Lepisosteus oculatus: one gene and its partner. The protein of the gene in region 1 purifies or fractionates together with the protein of each later gene. This does not show direct contact. Links are inferred from orthologs where the notes say so. Each region holds a gene or a part of one and is shown in the gene's direction. Other genes may lie near its edges.

Region 1 (7,967 bases):
GCCGGCAGGTTAACTGGCTTCTGGGGAAATAGGCCCTGGTGCAAGGGTGTGCGTATTTGTGCCTGCCCTGTGACGGACCAGTGTCCCATTCAGGGGGGCGGAACACCCCGCCTTGGGCCCGTCGCTCGCCAAGACGGGCTCCAGCTACCCCCGTGACCCTGAATTGTATAAAGCACTTACCAAATGGATGTATAGACTAAATCTTAAATTGATTTAGTCTGATTAAATTGATTTAGGCACAATAAATTATGACGAGGGGAAAGTATTTTCCTAACTTGTGTCCATCAGCTATGTAGATAATAATAATAATAATAATAATAATAATAATTGCTTACACTTATATAGCTCTTTTCTGGACACTCCACTCAAAGCGCTTTACAGGTAATGGGGTCTCCCCTCCACCACCACCAATGTGCAGCCCCAGTGCAGCCATAGTGCACCATGTTTCGCCACACACCAGCTCTCAGTGGGGAGGAGAGCAGAGTAATGAAGCCAATTCATAGATGGGGATTATTAGGAGGCCATGATTGGTGAGGGACAATGGGAAATTTGGCCAGGACTCCGGGGTTACAGGTGTCCCCTACTCTTTTCGAGAAGCGCCCTGGGATTTTTAATGACCACAGAGAGTCAGGACCTCGGTTTTACGTCTCATCCGAAGGACGGCGCCTGTTTACAGTATAGTGTCCCCGTCACTATACTGGGGCATTAGGACCCACACAACCACAGGGTGAGTGCCCCCTGCTGGCCCCACTAACACCTCTTCCAGCAGCAGCCTTAGTTTTTCCCAGGAGGTCTCCCATCCAGGTACTGACCAGGCTCAGGCCTGCTTAGCTTCAGTGGGTTGCCAGTTGTGAGTTGCAGGGTGATATGGCTGCTAATGATGTGTTTGGTAAGGGGTGTCAGTGGGGAAAAAATAAATCAGTAACAAATTCAGTAAATTCAATAGATCGTTTGGTTCAGTGAAGTCAGTAAAGGTCAACTGTGATCTCCGAGAGCTTCAGGATGTTTGGCATTTTCAGTTCAAATGATTACTTAACGGATAAAGTTTACCTGCTAATGGAAATGAAACAAAATTGTTCCAAGTGTTAAAAAGAGCAGGTTTTAAGGGCAACCCAGAAAACTCTGGTGGCTTGTCGCTCTGCAGAACTAGGTACTGAAAGACATCAGAATTCCCCAAAACTGCTTTATAAGCCCTGTAAAACATCACCATGGTCCTTAATGTGGAGTGCAAACATTTGAACTAGTATAACCTAAAGAAACCTGAATCAAGCCTAATAAGAGTAGAAACAAAACCTACATTTAAGCGTGCATTTTCTTAATATAAATTATGAACATTAAAGCACTATTCCACTAGATGTCTAGATATTTACAAAATGTGACCTGCTCCTCACATGATCTTTCCTGAAGCATTTTGCACAAGTTACTCAGGGAGAAGTTCAAAGAATCATTTATTACACAGCATACAGTTTTAGTAGTGCTGTTATTAGTTTTATTAGTATATTTGTTTTATTAATGCTTAGAAAAAGGTCAAGTTTATAGAAAGCCTACTGAATTCTGTGTAAACAAAACTGAAGATTAGTCATTAAAGATAAAGTGCATCCTGTGAAGTGTAAGATGGTCATCACATATAAGTAGATAAGAGACTTATCTTTTGACTGAGCAATACTGCTAACACACATGAAGAAGACCGTATGGACCAGTGATTGAAACCCGATGGACTTTTAAAGGGTGTGCAACAAACTATCTTATTATTAACAGAAGTAGTATATTCACTCTGTAGTTGTGTAAGTAATAGCAACATCATATGAGAGATTTTATAAACAACATGAATCCTAAATGCAACTTTTTGGAAGTATACAGTGATTCACCATATCAAACGCTGTAGATAAAACAATCGAGAAGGCTGCAGAAATGTGATTTTGATCCAACGTGATTATAATATCCTTGAGAACCTTTAAGATGGCAATCACACCCTGAAAGAAAACAGGCTGTGTATCTGCTAAAAGAAAACTGTCTAAAAAGAGCTGAACTGTTTGCGAGCAATTTTTCACATGTTCTTAGAAAGGCAGGGAAAAGTGAATACAGATCTACAGCAGTCAAGAGTCTGATTTAACAGCCTCTTCAAAACAGAGACAGAACAAGGGACTATTCTGAGTCTGTTAGGATTACAAGGAGTTGGAATAAATGAAACAGCAGAGTAGATATTAAATGAGTGTCTAATTTGATCAGAACTGGTTCAATACCCTTGTGATCAGAGGTCTTATCACTGTCAGTCTTCCAAGTTCAGTTTGTATTGACTCAGTAACTTGCTGCATAATAAAAATGAAGGGACTCTGGAACTTGACCACAACAGATTCAACCAAATCAGCCTTGTTGTTAAAAATTGACCTAGAAAACACGCAACCATATCAGTATAAATGAGATGTTCAGTGACTGAATTAAATGTGTTTTTCGTTGTCATAACAGTATTTTGGCAGTACCTAAATTGACTTATCCTTCATAATTTTAATTAACTTCCAAAGCTTTGTGTAAGAGGTCTAAGAATATATTATTGTAATGTTTTAGAGCTTTTACTAGCTTTTGTGGACTTTTGTCTAACTTGCAGGAAAGATAATAGTTATTTTCTGAAGAGGCCCTGGCATTGAACACTCTCGCACAGGGATAGGCCAGGGGCTCTCGCGATTTTGTTACTCAAATCAGCATCACGAGTGGTGAAATGTGATAATGTTGTTGATTATATTGCTAAAACAATCTTTGAAAAGATAACCAATCGTCTTCTACCGATGGGATGAAACACATGGTGTTCCAGTTCATTAAAACGAAATTGAATAGATATATATAAAACTGTATCCACCAAATTACCACGTTTACTGCATGGAACCCCAGCTAAAGCCAAGACAATGTTATCGAGCAGCAAAGACAGGGGCACTGCAATATAATATTTGGGAGAAAGATCCAATTTGAGTAGAAAGTTCCTCTGAACAGGTAGCTGCATCCACTGCCTTTCAAATGAAATGCTTACAAGACAGGAATGGGTCAACACAGTAACCTATTGTAATTTCAGCACCCAAACAAAGGACCCGTTACTACTTGTTTACAGTAAACTTCAGTTTACTTCATCTATAATGCCTTAAATGAAAGATAGATTTTCATTTCCGCAGACACACGGCTACCAACAAAAACTAACACGAAGTCCTGCTGGATCAAGGTGCTATTATCCAGAAGTAATTTGCAGGTAGTCTCGTGTAATAAAGCAGAAATCGAAGCACTTACCATTTTGCGGTAAACTCTGAATTACTTTCACTGCAGCATCAAATCGTTGCTCGTGGATTGGTTTTTCATCCGCCATTATGACAGAGGCTGCAAAAGAGTCAGCGACAAATCTTTAAACCTGGGGATTACAAATATGAACTGGAGCAGCTCACCAGCTGCATATAAGATTAAAGTGTACTTTTGAGTACCGACAGTCTTCAGAAAAGAACGACGTATTTGTTAAACGGTTTTATAACTAAATTGAATAATTACATGGTTAGTTACTGCACTGATCAACTCAACATTTCAAAGTTTCATTGAGCTTTTAAAAAGGAGAATTAAATATTAATCACTCGGCACACAGACGTAAACAGTATTTGCCGAACAGGTCATTCCTCTCGTGACATAGGGCTAAATTGTTACAAGAGTTCAAAATTACAAAGAACAAATTTGCACAGACTTAGCTACGTCCACACCTCAAAATTCGTATACCTGTCATACCCTTGTATATTAAATAGTTAAAATACTAGATAAACATGATGTACCTACTGTAAATACGTTGACTTCTCAAATACGTCTCTAAATAGGAACCAACACAAATCTGACATTAGCGCTACGTCCAGGGGATTTGTAGTTTTTTAAGGCCACGGGCGAGTGTACCAGAAAACAGAGTTCAGTCAAATTGACTACAAAAACCACAATGCAGTATTAAATATAGTGTTTTGTGGGAATTGTAGTAATATAGAGGATATTTTAATAAATTAACAGCCTTAATAAAGTATCAAGTCTCAATCTATGCATAATATTTTTACAGAATTGCGTGTGACAGGATTTAAGATTTCTGGAAATGTATTAATTTTCTTACATGCGTCTAAAGAACAATGTATATTTTTTCACGATATTTAGACAAGCATAAAATATCCATCATTTTAAATGCCTGATGAATGTATCAAAATAATTAAAATCAAGCTTAGTTCTAAGAATACACTCTTAGATTACGTATAGCATACATACATATACGAGTCACATCTTTTTCACCGACGTTCAGCGGATAGGAAGAACAGTTCAAATAGTTAAAGACAATTATCACGTTAAAGCAGGGGTGGCGGAAAAGAGAGAATATCTTCTGTCATCTACGCAAAGCGTAAAAGTTAACCGTCTATATCAGCAATGGCTTTCCAGTCTCTCTCAACGTATACATACACGCGCGAAATGTGTCTTTTCCCACACTTGATAGCGACAGTGTCATCATCGAGGTTTCGCTTCAAGACTACAGGTCCCAGCGTGCACCTCTGCGGGTTCCTGCGTCTCCCTGCTGCGGCGGTGCTCGTGTGCGCGAGCCCGGCTGGTGAAAGGTCGCGGTGGCGAAAGCGAGGCCAGGAATCCCACAATACCAGGCGGAGGAGCAGCTTTCTGGGGCAGAGCTTGTGGGTTCGATCAAAGGGAAGGAGAAGAAGAAATGCAGAGAGATGTAAGATGGCAGAGCTGCAGATGTTGTTAGAGGAAGAAATTCCAGCCGGCAAAAGAGCTCTGGTGGAGAGCTACCAGAACCTCACCAGGGTCGCTGATTACTGTGAAAACAATTATGTTCAGGTAAGAAAGGGAAAAAAAAAGAAAGCGATGTAATTCCGAGATGCGAAGTGGATGCCTCGGCTTTTTTTTCTTTCCCCGTGGAAGTGTGGGGAGCCGGAGACAGGAAATGTGAATGTTGCAGCGAAACTCGAAGGGATTAAAACGGGGTTTCAAAATCTTTTCGAAAATACCCCCCCGATGTGGCCCGTCTTTAAAGTTGTCTGCGTTTTTACCGACAGCGGCTCGTCCCTTATCGGCAGGGAAACGGCAGATCTTGTTCCCATTCATTTCCACCGTTTCGCGATCAGTCTGGTTCGCTAGTCCGGAGGGTGTGTCTTTTCCTTATCTTGTTATATTTCGACTGGAGGCTCTTGATTTAAATCCAGGAATGGCTCATTCGCCGACGGGGAAACGCATGTAGAGTTTAAATACGTGTAACGTTTTGGATCTCGTTTGAGAAACTTTTATTTGAGGGAATGGAGGGGCTCACGCGGTCTTCCGTTTTCGATTCTTTTCTGCACTAGTAGCCCGCATTTATCCAGTAAGTAATGCACACAAACTTGAGACGTGAAGTGTAAGATGTTTTTTTTTGTCCAGCTATCCGTAGTTATGTATGGAAAAGAGAACCGCTCTTTTCTGATTAGCGTGACTGTTTACTGTTCAATAGGCTGCTGTGTACAGCCGATCTTCTGGTTTAATACCTTTAGTGCATTAATGTGATGTAAACGCACCCCACGCTGCCAGGTACATTAGGTAATGCTGGTAATCTCCTCCTAAATTGCACCTTATTTGCCGACTCTTGCCCAATCGTTTTTAACACCACGGCGCCGCCGCTTCCTAGTAGCTGAAATTTGCCAATTTATTTTTCAACGTGAAGACTAACGGCGTGACCGCCACACAGGCGTATACAGTATGCGACGAAATCGGACTTCAAAAACTGAAGATTGACGTCTTGTGTATTCCTACGCCCAAATTGTGGTTTGGCATCTCTGGCGAGATGTCTTGGTTCAATAGTGTTATCATTGGGGGGGAAACGAAATGTAAGGTGTTAGTTAGCACGCGTTTTGCCGTTGGGTGTTTGAGGTGCTCCGGTTTTCATCGTCTTGAAGAGTAAACTGCCGATATAGTTCGCCATCAGTTGCGGGAGAACATGCCTTCATATGTGCCAGTGTCAACATGTAACCTGGAAGTAGCCGTGCTCCGTCACTGCTGGGGAAACTTGTGTTTCCAGGACGTGGCTGGCGGACGGCAGCTGCTTGTCCTGCATTCTTGAAATGGTTGAATCTGGCCGCTTGCTGGACGTGCTTTCCTTTCTGTAGCTTCATCAAACAGTTGAAGGTTTATTTCTTGCGTGCTGATAGTTGTCTAAACACGTTCACCTCGAAATATTTAAAGCAACCCTGATCTTAGGTAATGTATGTCGATACTGTATGACTGCTTAAAGCTTGCAAGGGGTATAGTATGAACTTATTCAAAACAGATTTCACAGGTGCACGTCAAAATGTATTCTTCAGTGATTACAGGAGTACTTACGAAATTGAACAACTCATTGGTCCCCTTTATGCACTATACCCGCAGAATATTAGATTTTGCACTGTGAGCCCAGTGTTTTGAGTGATTCTATACGTTTTATGATGGAAACATCTCACTTTGCCTTTTAATGACTGATTTTGATAGACTACCTCCCAGCTATTTTATTGAGAAAATATGAATACGTTAAATAAAGCCTTTAGTTTTAAGCAAAGCCCGTGTTGCCCTTTAACACACTGTGTTACTACTTCACATTAGCTGTTTGTTGTTAGTCGTCTGTGTGCAGTGTGAAAAGTGTCTGGGGGAGAGATTTTCTTAAAGTAACTGAAACCCTCATTTAGTGTCTGATTTTGGCTCCATTTTTTTCTGGTCTGATTTTCAAGGCTTCTGGTCAGTGGATTATAGTCAGCTGGCAGCCTAGCCTTAAATGCAGGTTCTTAAAATACCATTTTGAGGAAAATAAAAAACAGAAGTAGGTTAGGTTTGTGGTTAAACACTCTTTCATAGTCGGGGCAGTACAATAGATAGATGTCATTATGGATATGGCCAGGATGTTTGATCGCATGAACTGCAAAAGTGTTTTGTGGGTTTGATAGCTTACAAGCCTTTAAGGTGTGTCTGTCACAAGGCCAAAGGCCACTTCAGAGAAATATTTGACTTCCTGCTATTGACTAACTCTTGAATGGATTTGGGATTAATTTGTTCAGCACCAGACTTTTCCTTTTCTCCTTTGTGGGCCCATTTAAATGAAAATTTGCTTCTTTGAACTAAGGTGACGAGCGATGCAGCGACATCTTTATCCAGCGTCTGTCAGGGAAGCACGCGCATGTTCTCCAAATGAAAGGATTGATAATGGTCAAGGGTTTTCCTGTGCAGTTTAAAACGCAAGACACCTGATCTGTTCTATTGACATTCCAACTTTGCCTCTGCCATCAATAGGCCCTTTGTGCCCGCGAGATTACAGACAAGACAGTCCAAGATTTTCGACTGTTTTGTTTTAGCGAGGAAAGGCAAGTGTTGCCACATACAGCCGAATACCTAGATGGGCAGAATTAGTAAGGAAATGCAATGAGAAGGTTTTGGAGGCTTAATAACGCACCGTTTGGCAGGCATGCTGTTTTTGTTTGTGAAAACTCCGTAGATGTGACTAATTGGTGTAGCTGTTTGTGGGGTTTTCGAGGTAGTGTTTCTGAACTCTTAACCACAAGTCCAAGGCGTGGCTGTGTTCTGTCGAGAACTGCCTAAGTGAACAGTCCTCGCTGAGCAAGTGGCTCACCGTGTTTCCCACCCACTGATACGTACTGCCGAGTGTGATCTCTAGATCATCTGTACTAGCAATGCAGATTTTTCTCTCTTTAAAAAAAAAAGGCTTTATTTTTTCAGCCAAGCCCGAACCTGCGGTGAAGCTTGAGATGCGCTGCCTTTTTTTTTAAAGCGGTAGAAATGTTTCTTTTGAAGTAGCGGGAGGCTGTCGAACCCGAAAGAGCCTTAATGTAGCGGACGGCTGAAAGGCAGCAAGGTGATCATCGCTCAGCCAGTTGTGCGACTTCTCCTCCTCCCCCACCCCCCCTCGAGGCCGAGCGCTGGTTTCGGAACAGCTCAGAAGTTTGCAG
Region 2 (7,954 bases), on another chromosome or scaffold:
CCTCCACCCCTCCGGTTATGCCTTGAAGAGAGATTTATCTCTTAATCTTCCTGGTTAGTTGAAGATTAAGCAAATTGAAATACCCTATTTTTAAAGTTATTCACTATGCATAAAAAACAGTATTGGTTATATTTGGTAGGTAGTTATAAAAAACTGAAGCTTGACTAAAAACTTTTGAACAAGATGTGAATCACAGCTTCTGTAACTATTAATGAAATTAAAAAGAATAAACCAAGGGCTTTACTTTTTTTCCTCCGTCAGCATGACTCGGTTATTGCAATCTGAAGCATTCATCATATGACCTTGAAAACTGCTCTGAGCTATGGGTGAATCAGGGTGAAAGATTCCAAATAAAAGGGTAGGCAAATGAAAGATGCCAAATAGAAAGTAATCATTATAGCAACATTTTAATTCTAAGAAACTACACACTTCAGTTCCAAAATACCTGTTTAGAATTTGTCAGATTTGATGTTTTCTTAGTTCATGGTTTAAATAACTGGGAGGAAGACTATCTCACACTTTCAGAAATCTGGCTGATTTATAGAACTCCGGAAACCACATGTTTTTTTTCATCCCAATAAAACTTAACACGAGAGGGTTTTCTCTTCTGATGCAACACATTGAGGAATTATAGTTTAAAAAATTAACATCTTGCACAACTTTAAGAGGAAGTGTGCTACAAGCAAAACTAACCCGGCTTAACAAATCAAATATCTTTTCACTACAGTGAATGCATGTTTAACATTTACATTTTTATACTGGAAATTGAAAGTATTCAAATAGTATACAATTGGAATAACGGAAGTAGAGGTATTTCACAGGCTTTACATGTTAAAAAAAAAATATCTGGAGTATTTTTATTCCTTGTTAGGCCATAAATGAAATAATTACACCTCAATACTATTAGTCACTTTATGCAAGTTACCCCCCAATCTTCTTAATATCTATTGGGATTATTTACAGTAAAAGGTACAGATCTAGATAAAAAAGGCCTTGCAACTGAAGCTTGACTAAAAACTTGAACAAGACGTGAATCACAACTTCTGTAACTATTAATGTAATGAGAAAGAATAAACAAAATAGTGTTTGAGTGATGGAGGAAAATGTAAATGGCTTTACTTTTTTCCCCCTCCGTCAGCATGACTCGGTTATTGCAAACTGAAGCATTCATCATATGACCTTGAAAACTGCTCTGAGCTATGGGTGAATCAGGGTGAAAGATAAATAAAAGGGTAGGCAAATGAAAGATGCCAAATAGAAAGTAATCAGTAATCAAAAAAGCATAAAAATGAAATGGAGCAAACAGGCGATGGAATGAGCTCAGTATTTAAAAAAAAAACTTCTGGTAAAAGTCCCAATTGAAGCCCTTCTATAATAAATTTTAATTGTTCAAGGATACTGAGTGGAAGGGGGATAGTAAATAAACCAAAGTTTACAATCACATTCTTTGTAAAGAAAATTTATTTTTCCACAATACACAAAATCCCAGTAACTCAGCTATGCTTTACGAGGGCCAAATGCTACTGTTAGGTTAAGGCTTTTACATTTACATCAGACACCCTTCTCTGCACATGTTTCAAAGGGCACCTTCATTCAGTAAAGAGACTAAACACAGCAGCACCTTGCTCTAGAGAGCATAAACAGAGTTGGGAGACACCCACATGCTTTTCTCGCAGAGGCAAAAGCAGGCAAGAAATAACAGTCTCGCCAATTTGGTGTTAAGAGATACACAGCGACAGTTGTGTGAAGCAAAGAAGAAACCCACTATTTCTGAAAATGTGCAGACTGCAGATTAACAGATGAAGCAGAATCATTACTATCTTTCATGGCGCTCATGTTACTTCAGGCTTATCTCTAGCCACACTAATGCTTCTCTAAAGAAAGGGCCTGTCTACTTGGCCAAGCTCAGCAGCTTTTTGACGTCTTCCTCGATGTCGCTGGTGAGAAATCGTCTGCTGTAGCGCTTGAACGGCTTGCCATCAGGGCCAATGAGGAACTTCTCGAAGTTCCACGAGATGTCATTCCTGCAGACCGGGCTCCAGATGATGTACTTGGGGTCGGTCATGAGGGACAGGTTGTCATCACTGGGGTAAGGCAACTGCTCCTTAAGGAATGTGAACAGGGGGTGGGCATCCTTCCCATTCACATCCACCTTCTGCGTCAGAAGGAAATCCGGCACAAACCCATTGCCTGGACGGACATACTTCAAGGAATTGAGAATCTCTTCGTTCTTACAATTCTCCTGTGGAATTGTAGGAACATAATTGGTTATAAATGGCTCAACTGAATGTCTGAAATATATCTAATAACCCTTTTATAGTCAATTGAAGCACTACAGGATTAGAGTATAATAGCCGAGTACAAAAACAGCCAGAGCAGTTATAGCACCTCCATTTTCTCCAGATAATTTTTCATTTTTAAACTTGCCATCAGTTAGGAATCAATTCAGTAATTTATTGTAATGTTTAAAATGTATTTAATGGCGTTGAACTAAAAAAGTGTTAAGGTTGATTATCCCTGAAAAACCGAATGAACTTTGTTTTACCATCATAATTATTATCATTATTTCACTGGGACATTTTCTCCCAGTATGTTGGTAAATGGGTCCTGTAAATCCTAGCCTCCCAAAAACAATTTGTTCAACGCGACAACTCAGTCCTCCTGCAACATTATCACAATTGGTCTAATATATAAAAAAAATGGGGCTTACAACGCCCGATTACCACACAACAAAAAAAGAACTGAAGTTTAATCATTTAGGTTACTTCAAAGCTAATATTTCACTTCAATCAATTAAGAATACACACTTGAAAAACCGAACGATTACCGTTTCCTTTTAACCGATAGCCCAAAAGATAAACAAGATTATTTCAGCGGCTCATGTGCAAACAGCTCGCAAAAAAAAACCTGAACATTAAGCAATAAAAAGTACCATCGAAATTATGAGATTTCCATTTCCTTGTGAACTCAGGTGAAGCCTTGCCTTCACCAGATAACGGAAACGTCACAAAGTTACCGTTTTTCTAACTTCCTATGAAACTAGAGAGCCACTAAGGTACTTCAAGCTAAAGGAAATTGCTCCTGCGGTCAGAAGGAGTAACCTCCCTACCTGATATCCGAACTGGTTACAGGGCACCCCCAGTACCACCAGCCCCTGGGCGCCGTAGCGCTGCTGGAGCTGGTTCATCTGGGTGTAATCCCTGGTGGTCGTGCCTCAGAGAGACGCCACGTTCTCGATCAGCACGACCTTGCCCTTCAGCGTGGAGAAGTTATACGCTTCTCCCGTGGACAGGAGATTCATCGAGAAATCGTAAAACTTCTTCATCCCTCCAGCCATCTTGAAACCCAAAGACTGTCCTGCTTTCCCGCTGTCAGGTCCCTTTTGTACCCGAGCCTGGAGACGCTGGTTCCAGGTGGTGCGCAAGGAAAGGGGAGGTGTTAAGGGGCTGGCCTTCAAATGTTAATAATTTTTTGAGGAAGTTTTCCAAAATGCAAATTACAGAAACCCTTATATGAACAAAACAGAACACTAGGCGGCTTCTGCGTCTATGCGTAATATTTATGCGTGGGGCTAAATGGAATATTTGTGTTGAGAAATAACCCCAAAGTGCCCAAGAACTCCTGCAAAAGGAAAATGTTTTCGATATTTTAATCAATGTATAAAACGACAAAAAAGCACAAAGTATGTTCCTATATCAGATAACGCTGTGAAAGGAAACGATAGCTTTATCTCTTTTGTATGTAAGGTTTGAAATAACCGATGTTAGCAGGGTGGTGTACAAACGGACCAAGGCCTCCTATTGTAACAGGAGGAAATAGATATTGTGTAAGGAAACGAGATAGGTTAGAAATCGCTTATTTCAGTGTCGGCAATCTCAGTTTTAATTGCACCAGAGTTAATAAAAGGGACAACACAAAATAATCTTTATTGGGTGATAAAGTGTGATAGTATGTAAATAGGGGTATGTAGGCGAATTTAACTTGGAAAACAATCTGCGATGCCAGTAGAAAATAATTAGCCTTTTTCATGATGACTCGGCAAAAATAAAGCTATAGTTCAAGTAGGTAAAAATAAAGTTGGATATTCACGTTGTCTTTACCTTCAAATGGGTTTAAAAACCGATTCCTGGAGTAACTGTATATATCGAGACTTATGCAGTATTAATAACTATTGTTTCGGGAGTAAGAAGAGGATTGGACTAAGCAAAGTACGGCGGTTCTTTCATAGAAGTAGTGAAAGGCGTTAGACGCTTTAAGACATATCTTGTCCTATATAAATACTAACTTCCATTTTTTCACGGTCTTTTAAATAACCATCTTCGGTGTGAAACACGCTGTACGTCCTTACATTTCGTACGTATATTTTTATAGCCCACTCAAGCATAAATTATATAGAAGAGCATCTAACCAAACCAAGAACAGAAGACGCATATTTACAGAACATACAGAAATATGTTTGAGAACATGGAACAAGATACCTATTAACATGCTGACACCGATACAATGGTTTCTGTCTAGAGACAGCTGCATGATATCATCTGATCACTCAGCTACATAGCAATTAAGCCAGTTAGGTATACCGAATTGCCTCATCTTGTTTGTCACCTTTCTTGCGTTGCAGGGTTTCCCTTTTCAACATTAAACAAAAAAAAACAGTAAGGAAAATGACGAAAATTAATATTACAAATCACATTTCGAGACAAACGATGGCGACGGACGGAAGCTTTATTTCACAACACTTCGATCAGCCCGAACACTTCTGAGCGTAGCTGCGACTTGTGTATTAATAGCGCCCTCTCCTGTTGAAATGTGGTACAGTCTCGGCGGGGGAACAGCAGGTAGGCGGCGCTCTGTCTCAGTCCAGATCTGCGGGAAAATGGCCGGCCAGGAAGATCCCGTCCAGAGAGAGATTCACCAAGACTGGGCAAATCGAGAATATATAGAAGTTATTACCAGCAGCATTAAGAAAATCGCAGATTTCCTCAACTCGTTCGGTAAGAGATTTTGAACTGAAGGCGAATATGAAGGGTCAGAGATGTTTAATACAGAAAACTAGGCCTTGCCCTGCTGCCGTCTCATTCTTAAAATGCATCGGGTTTTCTGTTGTATTTAAGTACTGTATGACATAAACCACACTGTTGCAATTTATAATACATATCTTAGCTGAAACTGTCAGTCTTTTAATTCGGTGGGCTTTGAGCGACGTAACGTTTAAGAGTATGTTCGGTCAACATCCTCAAGGGATAGGGCAGTTGTATTTAGTTAAAGCATACACCCATAAATCTGGGTGATTTGTATTTTTATTTGTACCAGATAGCTCTTTAAACCCATTCCGTAGGATTTTTTTTTAAACAGAAATCTTGTCAACGTTTAGCATTCCGTTACTGGGTGGTCCGGATGGGGTTATGAATGTAATTATCTTTGCTCAGCCACGTTATTTGAAAGAGGTTAAATTACTCTATAGGAACAGGCACATTAGGACACGAATTCAGACCTGAGGCCATTTTACAGCTTCCGCCTCTGGACAGCCCCAGTGCACTATAGATGTTGCTGCAGTTTTGATGTTTCCCTGATGTTGCCCCATGATGTACATGTAAATTTGTTATCATATTGCTTAAAGCAGGGGGTATCCAACCTTATTCTTTGGGTGTAACGCACCTAACCTAACATTTTCCCTAATTGAACACTTAATTGAGCCAACACTGTGCTTGATTGGAGCATTTGCAATTTTGTTCCACTCAAATGATGGACTTATGAATTGCAGAAGTCAGAAGGCGATCTCCAACATGTTTAGGACCTGGAAATAATTGGAGGTTTCAAATCAATCCGGTTATTAGATCAATTAATAAACTAGCAGGTGTTGGGGACTGGGGAGCTCCTGCTTGAAGAAGGAACACGTGAACACGTTATTTTATTATTAGCAGCCCAGAAACAAGTACATAGGCTACTGCCTAGTGCTGAGGATCTTCAGTTTTTTAGCATCTTCTCTGCCCTAGGGAAAGCTTGTCATGGAATGTGATGTTGAATTCAAGAGAACCTGTTAACCAGGGGGCAGCTGAAAAAGTCTCTTTTGTGTCACAGGGTTTTAGGGTTGTATAACAATGTAGTACTTAGCAGTGTTCCTAACTATCGGAGATGCTTCAGTATTTTGTATTTTTTTTCAGGTTACTAAAAGTGTCAACTGCAGTGGCTTGTTTGATATAGGTTCTGGTATGATAGTTATAAAACTCAAAAGACCTGGTCTTTTGTCAAGGAGAGGATATCTGCTGTCTAGGGAGACAGTGCATGTTGGGAGCCTGCAAGTGATCGGATTGAATCTCGGTAGGGAGACCTGCACTCATCACACTGACAGCTTGGGCTAAACTGATTGGACCCAACAGCTGCAGGATTGTCTGCTGCACAGTTGTGTTACAGCAGTACTCAACAGCAGGTTTCTCATGTATAGATATGTCCTGTCGGTCCCGATTGGCAACTCTGAATGAGAAGCTGACGGCGCTGGAGAGGAGAATTGAATACATTGAGGCTAGGGTAAGTAGTAGGATCTGTTGTGGGGCACTGATACTTCAATATTTAAATACTAGCATTCTGGATTTCCCTGTGCTTCATTTCATCCTTCTAGGGGGGGAAAAAATGACAAATGTATTTGTTCTCGAAGTTCCAGTCACAATTAACTGATGACTCGCCATTGAACGGGAATTGTTTAGTAGGAGGAGTGTTCATTGTACACACAGTCATTGGGAATGTGGGATAGTTGCCTTGAGAATTGAAAATTACTTGTTTTTTTTTTGTGTTTCATTTCCCTGCACAGTCATTGTTACAAAAAGAGGGTAGGTGGGTCAGAAAACTTCACCATAAAGTCAATATTTTAATGTTGCAATCTCCAGATTCATTCTGGTAGAGTGTGTTGCAGTAACACCTACTCAGTGTATTGCCTTTGACTCATACAGTACCTCATGGCCTTTATTTGCTGTTTTGATTCTGTACTGAAAATGCAATTCCTCTGCAGACAGCCGCAGGGCAGATTTCTGCTCATGTCCTGGTCTCATTGCAGATATCCAAATGCATAATTTCCATGAGACAGGTGATAACTGAGAGCTGTATCTTTGCTTATAAATACTAGTCTCTGGTCGTTAAAGTGACAAAGCTAATAGCACATTAAAGGTTTTTTTAAGATCAGCTATATTTTAACAACATCAAAAGCCAAATAATTATGTCATTTTTTTCTGGATGCTAAGTGCTTTCCAGTGAAGGATGAATGTCATTAATATTAAACTCATTATTCTTCTTTCTGTATAGGTTACAAAGGGGGAGACATTGACTTAGGCCGCACGGGGACACAGGATTCAGAAGAGCCTGGAGTAGCTCTGTATAACAATGGCACCCAAACATCACCTTCTTCCATTTTATAACATTTTTTAAAATATGCTTGCATACTTTAGACACATTTGTGTTTGCACGGGACAACTAAAAGACCTTCCCAAATGAGATGTGTGCGTGGCTTTCCTTTTCTCTTAATCCCTCTGGATATCTTTTAAGTCCCAAGACCTGTTGCTTACTTTTGGCACTCTCCTCAAAATGATGGTGGCATTTGAGGACAGTGTTTAGAACTGCACAGAACACCGCATAATAATTTTAGCAGGTAATGTAAACGTGGAGACAACTCGCAGTAGCCCGCAGGAATGAGGAGTTAACTACTATAAGCAGCATGAAGTGTACCTTGTGCTTGTGAATGAGTGAAGCAGTAACTAAAAAAAAATGTCACTGAAAATCCAACTGTCCTTTGAACCTTTAAACCTCACCCCTTCTTTTAGAAATCCTCACCCCCTAATCCCTCTTTTACTAAAGCAGACAGGGAGGTGGTGCTTGCAGAATGCATAGAGGGTGCTCGTGTAGCAGAGACAACCAGTCATAACCCTTCTATCATGGGCACAGTGCAGGAAATGAAGAGAAGTCC

The links. The genes of interacting proteins can lie anywhere in the genome.
Region 2: the proteins of abi1a (region 1) and brk1 purify together in Homo sapiens (co-immunoprecipitation; 3 studies listed by BioGRID and IntAct, with this or other methods). This does not show direct contact. The link is inferred for Lepisosteus oculatus from reciprocal best matches to the Homo sapiens genes ABI1 and BRK1.

The regions. Positions count from the first base shown.
Region 1 is NC_090701.1:40,792,462-40,800,428, forward strand, and holds the start of abi1a (abl interactor 1a), read left to right. Parts: upstream 1-4,583; 5' UTR 4,584-4,728; coding exon 4,729-4,845; intron 4,846-7,967. Other genes in the region: acbd5a (acyl-CoA-binding domain-containing protein 5A), read right to left, coding at 3,274-3,360, 4,456-4,504. UniProt on the Homo sapiens protein: May act in negative regulation of cell growth and transformation by interacting with nonreceptor tyrosine kinases ABL1 and/or ABL2. May play a role in regulation of EGF-induced Erk pathway activation. Involved in cytoskeletal reorganization and EGFR signaling.
Region 2 is NC_090699.1:53,752,833-53,760,786, forward strand, and holds the start of brk1 (probable protein BRICK1), read left to right. Parts: upstream 1-4,841; 5' UTR 4,842-4,876; coding exon 4,877-4,994; intron 4,995-6,445; coding exon 6,446-6,528; intron 6,529-7,296; coding exon 7,297-7,323; 3' UTR 7,324-7,954. UniProt on the Homo sapiens protein: Involved in regulation of actin and microtubule organization. Part of a WAVE complex that activates the Arp2/3 complex. As component of the WAVE1 complex, required for BDNF-NTRK2 endocytic trafficking and signaling from early endosomes.